Medicago truncatula: one gene and its partner. The main gene of each other region encodes a partner of the protein of the gene in region 2 in a complex. Links are inferred from orthologs where the notes say so. Each region holds a gene or a part of one and is shown on either strand. Other genes may lie near its edges.

Region 1 (7,001 bases), on a different chromosome or scaffold from region 2:
ACTTGCAAGATATATAAAGGACGCATGGAAACTATGGCCGGGGAGGAAGTGATCAAAAAACAAAAATCATGTTCATCGTGTTTGGCCTCGAGTGCATGGGTTCAGACATGCAGTAATGTAAACTTTGGGGAGCAAAACCGGATATTGGGTTGCACCGGAAATTTACTTTCAGGGCAGTGATTTTGGCCACGGCATAACAAAACTCTCTTCTTTCTTTCCTAACCATCCAAATTTTAATTTACTCTTAATATTTCCAACAGATTGTGTTGATTGTGCAGTTACAACCTCTATAGATTATTTTACTACATGTTTCGGTGTTGTGGTTATAGCCTGTGCTGCAACCTCCGAAATAACTTTGCTAAAAATCTTGTTTATGACAAATATGAGTTGAATCTAAACTAACAACTTGGTGAAAGCTCTTGTGAGTAGATTTAATTTTCCCTTATAGAATGGACATCCGTTCATACACAACAACAATTATATACTTCTCTTTTTCTAAAAAAAACACAATTCAACCGAGCTCGACTTATCAAATTTTGGGATCCAAAATATTTTTTTTTATATGTATAATACATGGCAAAATCCAACATATACTAATAAGGTGCAAATATAGAACCATAAAGATGGCCTGGTGGTAAACATATGTGTTGGCAACTAAGTTGTACCGGTTCAATGCGGCATTGAACCCAGTCCTTTATCATATTAATGTTTGGGTCTTTTCAAAGAATTTTACTATATATACCTCCCATAACTCAAATATTTCTATATACACCCCATCTTAAAAAAAAATGGGCCCCTACCGGCATGGGCCCTAGGCCGTCGCACTCGCGGCCTATGCCCTAGCGTCAGCCGTGCAATGCCTAAGAAGAGCCATATAACCTTTTTTTTCCTTTAATTAAGTTTTTTAGCATGATAAGCCTCAATATGAGTCAAATTTATCATGAATTTGAGGTCTATATATCTTCAATACTCTCTTCTTTTTTAAATTCAGTTCAACTCTCATCAATCTATTGGACTATGTATTTTTAAATAATAACATAATATAACTTTTAATTTTTTCTTATCTTTTTTTAGTCAAATTTATTATGGACTTCAGGTCTATATATCTTCAATACTCTCGTTCCCTTAAATTCGGTCCAACTCTCCTCAACCTATTGGTCTATGTATTTTTAAATAAAAGTACTATAACTTTTTTTCTTATATTTTAGGCAAAATTACACAATTCGTCCCTTAACTTAATTTCAGGTAATATTTTCATCCTTTATCTTATATATTTTTTCCGATTTTAATCTTTTATGTTACAATCAGGTAGCGCTTTAGTCAATTATCTTTTTCTTTATTCAACTTAATCATTTATATTACTCCCTCCGTCCCATAATAAATGAGTCATTTGCAACAAAAAAAAAATATTATCCCAAAAAATTGACTCATTTTACTTTTCAATAAAATAGTAATTACTTTTTTCAATTATAACTCTGATCAATTCTAATTTCATCACTCTCAATTCAATATATGCTACTTTGCATGTATGATAAGGAAGAATGCACGAATATTTGACAAAACACTCAAAACTATTTTTCTCTCTTTTTCACTTATAGATTTTTTCTTAGAGAAATGTTAACTTGTGCCCTAATGACATAGGATAAGAAATCAAAAGTAGAAATTAAATCTTAAAAATTGTGTATTTTTAATTTTGAAAGCTTTAAATTTTATCTTTATTTTTTGGTAGATAGACGAAATTGCAAAGCCATCATAAACACACAAACACAAAGTGGAGGTACCGGGGTTCGAACCCCGGTCATGACGTCCACTCTAATTATTTCGGTATTTTTGCCAATTGAGCTAGGACTTATGGGACTTTAATTTTATATTTTTAACTTGTGCATTTACCTTCTTAACTTGTACTCTTAGAGGACAAGTTAGCATGAACATTTTTTTTTTTTAATATGTGTGAAATTAACAAAAGACTCACTTAAGATGTGACGGAGAGAGTATAATCAGGTTAAAATGTTTTTATATATTTTGGTATATAAAAAAAAAATATAGTGTTAACATGTGCTTTTTGGGCACATGTTAAGAAACACAAAAGAAGAAATATTGTATAAAATTTTGTGCATTTAATTCATTAAAAAGTTAAAAATTAAATACAATACACACATTTCAATAAATAATTTTTATATTTGAATCATGAACTTGTGCCTTAACGCACAAGTTAGCATTAAAAAAAGGCTTAATTGTATTTTTGGACCCCTATCTTTTCAAAAGTTGCGGTTATGGACCCCTAACTAATTTAAATACAAAACAGCCCCCTATGTTTTGATTCTTTGACAGTTTTGGCCCCCAAGGCAAAAAAAAAAATAAAAAAAATGACACGTGGCACCTCACTTAGGGTGTCACGTCAGCGTTGATCGAGTCAACAATGGACTGGGGGTTCAAAACTGTCAAAGAATCAAAACATAGTGGGTTATTTTGTATTTAAATTAGTTAGGGGTCCATAATCGCAACTTATAGGATCCAAAAGTGCAATTAAGCTTTAAAAAAAATGTTATTATATTCGGGTAGTAACATGACATCTGTCTTTGTTGGAAAAAGGTTCGTAAGTTGTAACAGCCACATTTGAGTCTTTGACGACCTTTAAAAGCCAACTTTGCGTTGCGTGCTCTGCTTGTCTTCTTCTTCTTCACAGAATACGATGCACTCTTAGTTAGGGTTCGTTTTCTTCGTAAATGTTTTTTTTTTTTTTTTGCTTCATTGCTTCAAAATCAACGCTTCATAATCACTTTTTCTTTCCATTTGCAGCTCAGCACTTTCCATCGTCGATCACTTTCTCCCTTCTGTGTTTTGGTTCGGTCACTATCGAAATCTTAAGCAAGATAACTCAAGTCAAGGTAAGTTTTTTTTCTTCATTTTTGTGTTGAATTGTTATTAATCGGTTAGAAATTGTGTTTTATGTTATTGCATTTTGTTTATACCTGCATGCCCCCAAATTCAGTGTAAAAGGGTTTTGGGATTTATTGGTTTTAGTTTTTGTTTCTGCTTAGGAGCAATTTCAATTGGTATGTGTAGTTTGTTTTTGAGGTTCTTGTTATGTGGGTGTTGTCATTGTATTTCATTTGATGAGGGATTGTGTATGTTTGGTATGTGCCTTTGATTTGTGTTTGTGAATGCAACTCAAACAATTATCTAGGTTAACTTGTCCTAGGAAGATTTGCATATACTATCTCCGGTCTTAAATATAAAAGAAAGTTGAATCAACAAAAATCGATGTATCTAGTCCAAATTTGAACCAGATACAACAATTTTTGTTGACTCAACGTAGTTTTTTAGCTGGATTTTTATGGTAGCATTATTTATCAGTTTGACTTGAGTTTCAATAATAATGGCCCGTGAGAAAAATTGAATGTTGAGACCAGGGGGCAATGTAGTCAGGTTCAAGTTTTTAAGTGGAATCGGTAGGCTCGTAAAAGATCGTAAACACGAGGGTCATAGCACGGTCCGTAAGTAGGATTGGTAGGTTTTTGATAGAGTTGAGAGAAAAAACGGAAAATAGAGGAAAAACAGAGGAAACAAGCAAAAAAACAGAAAATAGAGTAAAAACAGAGGCAGCAGAGAAAAAACAGAGCAAACAGATGAAAACAAAAGAAAAATTAACCCGAGTAAAGTCGAAGCACGATTGAGGTGCCGTAACCAGCACTCGATCCTGACTACAATGCCAGGGGTGGATTTAGGTACCACTGGGCCAGCATTGTATTTCAATCTTATTCTTGTTGTAGGTTTGCTGTTGTGAGAAAATTGAGTCATTTGATGGATCTATGTTGTTTGACCGCTGTAGTCAGTTTGACGGTTGGTTTGTAGAAGAGTAGTCCATAGTGTAGTCTCATCAAAATTGCCGTGAAGTTATACTCTGATTAACTATAAAACATTGAGATTCTTGACATTGGTCGTTTTTTGATCCATCCGTGTCTACTTTCCTTCATGGTTCATGTTTTTCTTCGTGATATCTTGGTTATCGGATCTTACAGGACATAGTATAAGATTCATAATATAGGTTGTGTCATATCACATGCCATTATTCTTCCGAATCTTTCATCCTATATTTTGTGATTATCATGAATTTTATCAAGATTCTTGAGATTTCTCCTGTTTTAATGCAAGATCTTTATTCTCCTTCTATCTGTTTGGTAATCTGATACAAAACTTGCAAATTATTTATATTTCCAACTGCACAGATTTTTTATAACGAAGATGTATGTAGAAGTTTGGCAGTTTAATCATTGTACTGTGTTATTACCATATAAGCATTAAGCATTCAATTCAAATATTAAAAATATTGAAATTTGTTGAGGATCACATTTGGTGAAATGCTAACTTGTGATTTGTTTTGTACATTGAAGGATATGTTATCCTCTGTTGAGTTCTAACAGTGAGTGACTGATTATATAGCTACTTTGACTTCCACTTTACATGTATTATTAGGTTCTGAAAATGGTGGCCGTTGTATGAAGAATTATGAATATGTGATTTTATGTTTTAAAGATTAGAGTATTACCAGTAAATATCCTTTGAACATTTATAATCTTATAACTTTGTTCATTACTAAGATATCACACCCCTTCTTCCAAAATAAAAGATATCACCCATTACTTTAATGTGTAATCTATGCCTTGGATTTGTGTTTGTGAATGCAATTGAAGAAATTATGTAGGTTAAGTTGGCCTAGGAGGATTTGCATATACTACCTCTGGTCTAAAATATAAGGGAAAGTTGATGTATCTGGTCCAAATTTTGAACCTGATACATCAACTTTTGTTGACACAACCCAACTTTCTCTTATACTCCCTCTTGTCCTTTTTATAAGAGACATACGATTCAATAAAAGTCGATGTATTTGGTCCATATTATGAACCAAATACATCAACTTTTGTTGACCTACAAGTCTCTTATAAGAAGGACCAGAGGCAGTATTTAGGACATGATGGAGTAGTTTTTTAGCTGGATTTTTATGGTAGTATCATTTAGCAGTTTGACTCGAGTTTCACTCATAACAGCCATAAAAATTGAATTTTGAGACCAGGGGAGATTTAGGTACCACTGGGCCAATGTTGTATTTTAATTGCTGAATAGGCCCTCCGAGTTGCTCAACCTATCAGAACATATCTTCCAATAGGCTTGTTTTTTTGCTCATAGAAATGATCGGAAGTTATCTTCCGATGTGTGTTTTGAGGGGATTTTGCAGCAATGCAAGGGGGCCTGTAAAGCAATTATCTTCAACCATATTCTTATTGTAGGTTTCCTGTTGTGAGAAAATTGAATCTTTTGATGGGTCTATGTTGTTGGACGGCTATAGTCAGTTTTAGAGTGTGTTTGAAGGTAGTCCACAGTGTAATCTCGCCAAAATTGATGTGAAATTATAATCTGATTTTACTATAAAGACTTTAAATTCATGATATTGCTCGTTTGTTGAACCTTCCGTGTCTATTTTCTTTATGATATTGTGGCTACTGGTCATAGAAGACATGATATTAAGATTCTTAGTATAAGTTGTTTCACATCACATACCACCGTTTCGTCGAAATCTGTAATTTGTTATTATTATGAATCTTATCAAGATTCTTGAGATTTCTCCTGTTTTAATGTTAGATATTTATTCTCTTTCTATTAGTTTGGTAATCTGATGCAAAACTTGCAAGTTATTTATATCTTCAACTGCTCAGATTTGTAATACTAATAACAAAGATGCATGTCGAAGCTTGGGAGTTTGATCAATATACCATGTTATTACTGTATTAGCATTCAATACAACTTGTTTAAAATATTGAAATTTGTTGTGGATCATGTTCAGTGAAATGCTAACTTGTGATTTGTTTTGTGCACTGAAGGATATGTTATCCACTGTTGAGTCGTAGTTGTAATTGTGAGTGCCTGCCTGTGTTATATTATATAGCTACTTTGAGTTCCTCTTTGCATGTATTAGGCTCTGAAAATGATGGCAGATGTAATTTTGTATGAAGAATTATGATTATGAATCTGTTGTTTTATGTTTTAAAAGATTAGAGTGCTGCCTGTAAATATCCTTTGAACATTTATAATCTCGTAACTTTTATTACAAAGATATCATCCCTTACTTTTAAGTTGTTACCAGATTTTTCCTTTTTATGAATAAATTCGTGTTCCCATTACTTTGCTTTGTTGTGTAGTTTTTAATCAGATTAGGTGTACATAAGTTGATAGTATTAGTAATTTGTTGTCTCTTTAGATTAACCAATTGGAGTGTATCCGTTGTATAATAGATTTTTGTGTATTATTTGTTGATTATGCTAAATTGAAGTATCTTTCTTCAGGTTTCTTGGAATCTTAATTGGACTCATTGATGAATTCACAACTAGTGGTTGACTTGAATAGCAAGATGAATAATCCATATGCTGCAAACCCGGTAAGTAATTCATGTAATGAATAATAACATCTATTACTTGTCATTAGTAAAGCCTAAATTTACAATCTACACGCAGGGTGAAGCAACTGTCATGGGATTTGAAATTTTAAAAACATCTGACTCCGGTTACAATAATGCATACCCTTTGAATGAAGACGAGGCACGTGATCCACCTGAGATTCCTCCACAATTGCAAAACACCTTGGTCGGCTATCCTGCTAATGTCGATAGTTTTAGTTCTCTTCCATTGCCTCAGAACGCAATTCTAAATCATCTTTATATTGAGAATAGAGAGCCACAAAGATCTGTGGTGGCTTTGGGATACACTCATCGCTTTCGTACCAAATTTGTTACAGCAGTGCTCTACAAACCAGTTCAAAGAAGGGGAGCCACAAACATTTGATGTGCTGACTATAAACCTTCTCGAAAGACCAGTTTAAAGAAGTGGACCAAAATCATTTGATGTGCATATCATGAACTTTTCATTGTTGTTCATTTGTAATGATTTAATGTGTAGACTTGATGTTTAAATTAGCAGGAAGTGATATTTATTGGACTTATAAGGCTT
Region 2 (7,001 bases):
GTTGAAATAGTTCTCTCATACAGTCACACTAATAGCTGCTGCCTTGAACTATGATCCGATTCTCATGTAAATTACATATCTGCAATTTGCATTATTTTCACTTTTCTATATGAATGAACTTGTGCTTTTCTTACCTGACCCGACAGATACCATGTTGTCTGTGTATATCTTATGTTTAGATGATAATAATTGAAGTGAGGAAATAAGACATAGGTGTACCAGAAACTGGATCCACTCAAAACATTAAAATTTGCTCATTTGAAAAGGCTTAGATGTTAGTCAAAATGATGTTGATTGTCCAAGAATCATTGAAATAGATCAACAGTTATTATGGCATTCGAATTATTCGTCATATTGATTGTCGGAAGCTGTGTGCCCATGCAAAAAAGATGTTATTGTTTATACGTTTTCTGATCTTGCAATCTTCTAGCATCTACCATCCCCTTTGTTAGATGCCACTTCTGTGCGTCTTTTGCTGCAATAGTTCGTGTGCCTTTTGTTGTTTTGTAATTAGTAGTTCCAGCTATGTGGATATGCTAATTTGCTGTGGCTTACCATGCAATAATTCTGCAAGACGAACAAACTTATGATGATTTGCGTTTATTTTGGTCCCTCGAATTCAGCTCTCTAACAAGCATACTCCATACTCTTTTGTCATATGTATGTGTTGAGAAACCATGATCGGTGATCAGACAGACACATGCTGAAACTATATCAATTGTAAATGTTATTTGTTATTATTTATATGATTTTTGGGTATTGTTCATACAACATTAGTGAATTGGAATGAAAGTCTTCCATTTCGATTTGACTCGATTTTTAATTATTGAAATTCTTATCATGTTTGCTGGCAACAGATATTTTGATTCAGGTATTACTTTGCACTTACACTGTCCATAAATGACCAAAACAGAAATGCTAATTGTCTCTTGAACATCTTTACACTTTAGGCTTGGCCAGCCTAAACTGGAAGAGTTGCTTTATTTGAGCATGTGATGAAACTTCACTTTTGGCTAAGCACGCTAAGTAACTGGTTTTCAATGTGAGTACGCCGTACGCTAGTGTAGTTTTCCTATATTTTCCCTTTGTTTTCAACCTTTTCATTTTCTTTGTTTTTGTCAACTTCCTACGTCAAACTAACAAGTGCAAAACACAAGTTCCAATTGGGATACGTTCCAAGCCGACCCCCGAGAATAATGGGTCTCTTTTTTGTCGTGTTGGGACTTGGGATATTATCTTTTGTCTGTTTCCATAGCCACCAACAAAGACTACCATTCAACTTAAGCCTTTTCATGCACCAGGTACTATTTCAAAATTTATACCATTACTTGTGAGCATTTTCCGTTAGTAGTATATAAAAGGAACTCGAAAGTTAACTAATACTACCTCCGGTCCTATATATAAGAGAAATTTAGGTCAACAAAAGTGAATGTATTTGGACTGAATTTTTAACTAGATACATCAACTTTTGTTGACCTAAAATTCTCTTATAAATAGGACCGGAGGGAGTAACTTTTGGTCGGAATTTTGCTGGACAAAATTACCTTAATAAATTAAATTCTCTGCAAATTTAAATCTTAATAGTATGTCAAAATTATAGAAAATCTGAAAATTAACTATGTTGAATATTTTAAAGTGAAAAACACATAAATTTATTAAACTGAAGTAAACATATTTTATAATACATAAAAAAACAAAATACAAAAGAAAAATGTGGATAGACACGTGTCGCTCTAGTCATAATAAGGTGAACAGAAACACGAATCGAAGACAACGAAAACAACCCAAAATTTGACAGAACTTACGGTTACACCAGAATTTACAGTACATAAAAGTCCCATTCTAAAATTAGTTAAAACAGGTGCAAGTAACTTGCAAACTGCCTACACATTACAAAGACCTAGGTACACATCTTCAACCTGAAGATAAATACATATTTTTTACTTTTCCTCTGAAGAATTATTTCAAAAACAAAAACAAAAACAAAAAATCTCTGCAAGAGCAAGTTATTCTTTCTTGATGCCTTGTCTGTTAAACCCTGCTGTTAGCAGGTAGAGGGAGAACACCATCAAAGAAATCACCAAAATAGCCGTGGGGTTCATGTACTAGCCTTGAGATGATATCTCTTAGTGTGATTAGTCCTTCAAGGTTCCCATCATCATCCACAACATAGACCCTGTGAATTTGCTCTTTGTCAAGCAATTGAATCAACTCTTTCACTGTACAGTCCCTTTTGCATGTAATGAATTCACTTGACATTGGGAATGCGTTTTTATTCTTCTCTAAGTAGCTTCTAACGGAGGTCAGGAAGTCCTTCACTGTAATAGTTCTGTCAAAATGTGAACATCCAATGAGTATGTAGTAATGAAACAGATAGAACAACTAAAGAAAGAAAGATAGAAGATATCAGCAATGCGGTCTAAACACAGTTTTAATAAAAGGTCCGCGTCCACAGTTCAGGTCGTGACACAAGGTTTTTGATGTCTCTGACCGTGATTGAGGTCGCATCAGCCATATTTGACAACATTTCTCAGCAATATCAAGGACTGTGGCGCAACTGCGAATCACAATTTAAAACCTCTGACATACCTATAATCATGATAGATTTCTGGAGCAGTTAGCAAGAATTGAACATCTCGCAAGCTTATATTACCAACTGCCGTGGTGCCACCTCTTTTGATTACAGGCACCCCTCCAACCCTCTTTTTCCTCATCTCTTTAAATGCTTGAAGGACTGGTTCATCCTCATAAACCTGAAAAGAATGAAACGATCCATTGTCAAGTTCATCAAGATCGACAAGTTTACTTTACTTGAAAGGGGAAATGAAATAACTATTTTGAAGCATTTTCCATATATGCACACACATTTAAGAAATGCAAGATAGCATTTTACTCTGTATGCACTAGAGTTATGCAGAATTCATACTTGACAAGGTTCAATGCAATGAGAGCTTATATGATATAGTACACACCTTGATGATCTGTTTTGGTGTCACAAGGGGAAGACCAACATCAGATAGTTCCTTGGTTCCCCAACTTTCGAACCATTGAAGTCCGGCACATTCTGCCAACATATGAATCACGGCGGGTTGTGTGATGATGTTATCAATTGTACCAGAACCCAAGTCTACCACAGGAACACTCTTCATTTTGTACTTAGAAAGCAACAAGAGCATGGTTAGAAATGAGTTTGATCTCTCCAAAGCAAGAAACGGAGCCCATCGAAATGTTCCTGAAATATCTTGAACCTGTTTGCGAAAAAGTTAGCTACTTAAATAACTAAATACAAACTCATTAGTAGCTGGAAGAAGAATCACTTGAAAGAAATTTAGACATCGCAAAACAACCTTCGTGTTCTTATAAAGTTCAGAAGAAGTAAGATCCTCAAAAAAGTTTCCAGAAGTTGTCGCTGCAGATCCGAGGCCTAAGGCTTCGAGTTCTCGGGCAAAAGTATTTCCGTTTGCTGCGGCTGCAATAGCACTTGCGCTAGTTGGAGTGGATGGACTCCTGGGGGATGGAGGCTCAGACTGTCAACAACATTATCACATTAGCTTAGTGTGAAATTGAAGCATCTAAGAAAATCACTTAAATAGAACAGGTATCATATCATTTTTAGATATGAAAACACTGTAAATATAAGTACAAAAATTGATTGTAAATTTTAGATTCATATGTCTTTTGATCTTTTCCTCATTTTTATTCTGAAAGTGAAATAATTGAATTGACAAGTGACATATGTATCTAACCTGATGCAAAATCCATACAACAATTCCAGCAAACTCAACTATTCCGATGTATCTATCAATCCAAGTAGCATCTTCAGGTGCATCAACATCCACAACAGGTGCACTCAGAATATTGTGACGTGCTAGTATTTTCACAGCTTCAGCCAAGGTAGCATCTGATTTTATTTCAATTTCTATACAAGCAAACATAAAATTCACACTTTTAGAACAAACCCAATAAAAACACACCACAAAAAAATTATAACACACACACACAATAACACATCAATTGGTCACACATGCATGTTTGGTACCATAGTTGGTTGGTTTGTCAGAATCACGGTGAACCACCATGATTCTGATATACTATCGTGATACCAAACATGCACATAAATTTTCATCTGGGTGTGATCAAAATCACTTTTTCTTTTATTCAATCAAAATCAGACACATACATACATAGACACTAAACTACCTTGGTTTTTAGCAGGCAAAGGAAAAGCAGAAACAGGTATGCTTTCAAAACAAGCATTAAGTTTGTCATTAGGACTTAATTGTGCCTCTTGAACATCCCATAGATCTTCAACTCTCATCCCAAGTTTGGCTTCAGGGCTCCTTGGCATCTCTCTCATTGTAGCCATTGCCATTACTCCCTCTTCTTTTCTCTCTCTGTGTAACTGCATGATGAATTGATGATGATGACAATATTATAAGATCTCTATGTTTTTGTCTTTTTCTCTTTACTACTCCCAACACATTGTTCCATAATAATAAACTGAAAAATGGGATCTAAAATCTACTAAAACATTTGAAACTAGTGTCCTACACTACACCTGAATTATTCACCTTTGATTTTCATATTTTGGTTATATTAAGGAAGCGTGTACGGTTATGATGATGTAACATGTTGTGTTTGATTTTACTACAGTGGTCAACGTGAATGGTTACGTGCTCCATACTATTCGGTATACTTATCCAAATTTGTAATTTCATTATGGAAACACATTCTTATCCGGTTTTTACTATGGGCCACAAGGGTGTGCTACACTAATATGAGCCGGAGAGTGTTTTGCGCAGCACATAGAATTGATTTCATCATGCTACTTGTATGTAATAAACTATTCATGATTATTGATTTTGATAAAGCAATTATGCTAAAAAATATTTGTTATTCTAAAAGATGATAATTATTGGTTGCTTTTTATATCTTACACCTCATTGATTACATGTATCAACTCTGAGTTTTTTAATGACATTTTTTATTTTAAGGGAGTCACGTCCCACTTACATAATCCTTAATATTTAAGTGAGTTGGGTGGAGTAAAAATGAAAATAAACCTTAGGTCTTATATTAGTTTAATTAATTATATTATATTAATATAATAATTCTTTTGTCACTTTGGCACTTTCACTAAACTGAGCTTAATGACTCAGATGTTCACTTAAACTGATTCGGGAATATTTGGGATAGGAATTATATAATTAACCTGAATTTGACCGTAAAATTGAAAGGTACAAATTGTTTTAGATACAAAATTAATTTAAAGGCACAAGACCAATCAATCTGGAAATAGGGCCCTTTGTTAGGTTATGCTTGTATTTGTTTGAGCTGAGTACATACATAATTATTGATATCGAGTCACTGATAACGCTCACTCTCACTGTGATGTGGAGATGGAGATGGCGTGTCAATCTATTATATTGAAGATAGAAATAATATCATTATCTAGTTTAGACAGTCAAGTAACATTATTTTTAATTTTTAATTCAAATTGAGACAGGTCAGGATAGGAACAATACGTGACTCTGCCTTTGACCACCACTCCTTCCATGATTATTCATATTGTTTTGCTTTTTTTCTTTTACCCACAATAACTCATACCAAAAAATTAACTCATACTATAATTTTGGCACATTAGTTAAACTATCGACGACATAATAAATGTAAGAGTCTTATTAACCAGTGACCTTATGACACTAATTAAGGAAGTTAATTATAGAATTTTTTTATTGGAAACAACAACTTTTTTTTTATTTTCAAAAAGTTGAATATTCACTTTTTCACAATCTTTTTAATTTTATATTCTTAACTAATATTTAAGAACATTGGTTAACATTTTCCTAAATTTAATATATGATAGACTCAAATTAAAGATATGGTGACAGGTATACAATTTTGACACCTTCTTTACACTTGGGCAATACAATTTACTTGTTTTTTTTTTAATAAAACTTGTCTTAACATTTGGAAAATATCGTAATAGTGATCTACATCAAAACGTAATATTAACAAGGGTTAATGGTGTTTTATCCCCTTGTAATATTACACCCCTGTAAAAAAAAAAAAATTGGAATACCTCCCTAATAGGTCATAAAAAAACGACTTTATTTTTTTTTTGCATAATTTTTTCGTTTTTTTATGACCTATTAGGGGGTATTCCAAAAAAAAATAAAATTTACAGGGGGTAAACCAAAAAAAATATTTTACAGGAGGGAAAACCAAAAATGACTTATATTACAGGGGGGTAAAACACCATTAACCCTATTAACAAATTCAGATTGATTATTAGTCTATCAGCAATGATGTCTACCACTTACTTACAATCTAGCTCAATTTGCATATTTGATAGTCCCAATTGATCAAGCTAAAAGATGGCACCACACAGTCTAATGCCTCTGCTTTTATCGGGGAGGAAACCATCCTACCATTTCGTTAAAGCTTTAATAAAATGGCCTCGAGAATTCCAATTCACATACTAATACCGAAGCACCGTTGATCAGCAAAAAAAGCTTTGTCAACATTACACTTAATAAGATTTGGATTGTTTTTTATTATAACAATGAACTTCGATGATTCGGATGCACTTTCCATCATTACATATTTTTCATAACGCGAACTGACTGCCATTGAATAAGAGCATCTCATGCAAGCTGGACGACCTCGGTAATAGGATTAAGTTCACCCACCCACACTTTGTTGTTGCATCGTCGCCACAAACACCACAACATCATGACAATATCGTGACTACTAATATTGTTTAGGAAAGATACAAAATTTACTCTTTTTTTTTCTTAATAAGTGTTACATGGATACAGTTAGCGTGACTTTTTTTTATGAACCAAGTGTCAAATCTGCGCACAGCTACATATATTTATATCTCAAATCGGGTACAAAACTCTCTCTAAAAGTGATTGAAGACTACTACATTTTAAGTATTAAAATCGAATCAAAGATCGGTTGTTAAACTGAAAGAAATATCTTACCATTTCAATCAA

Evidence for each region.
Region 1: SNF1-related protein kinase regulatory subunit gamma-1 (region 2) and SNF1-related protein kinase regulatory subunit beta-3 share a complex: the UniProt entries of both Arabidopsis thaliana proteins name them as parts of the probable heterotrimeric complex. The link is inferred for Medicago truncatula from reciprocal best matches to the Arabidopsis thaliana genes KING1 and AT2G28060.

What each region holds. Positions count from the first base shown.
Region 1 is NC_053043.1:46,814,817-46,821,817, forward strand, and holds the start of SNF1-related protein kinase regulatory subunit beta-3, read left to right. Parts: upstream 1-2,573; 5' UTR 2,574-2,709; intron 2,710-2,799; 5' UTR 2,800-2,888; intron 2,889-6,341; 5' UTR 6,342-6,370; coding exon 6,371-6,433; intron 6,434-6,509; coding exon 6,510-6,836; 3' UTR 6,837-7,001. UniProt on the Arabidopsis thaliana protein: Regulatory subunit of the probable trimeric SNF1-related protein kinase (SnRK) complex, which may play a role in a signal transduction cascade regulating gene expression and carbohydrate metabolism in higher plants.
Region 2 is NC_053045.1:50,747,270-50,754,270, forward strand, and holds SNF1-related protein kinase regulatory subunit gamma-1, read right to left. Parts: upstream 4,409-7,001; coding exon 4,201-4,408; intron 3,920-4,200; coding exon 3,747-3,919; intron 3,528-3,746; coding exon 3,348-3,527; intron 3,249-3,347; coding exon 2,973-3,248; intron 2,754-2,972; coding exon 2,590-2,753; intron 2,330-2,589; coding exon 2,032-2,329; 3' UTR 1,700-2,031; downstream 1-1,699. UniProt on the Arabidopsis thaliana protein: Regulatory subunit of the probable trimeric SNF1-related protein kinase (SnRK) complex, which may play a role in a signal transduction cascade regulating gene expression and carbohydrate metabolism in higher plants.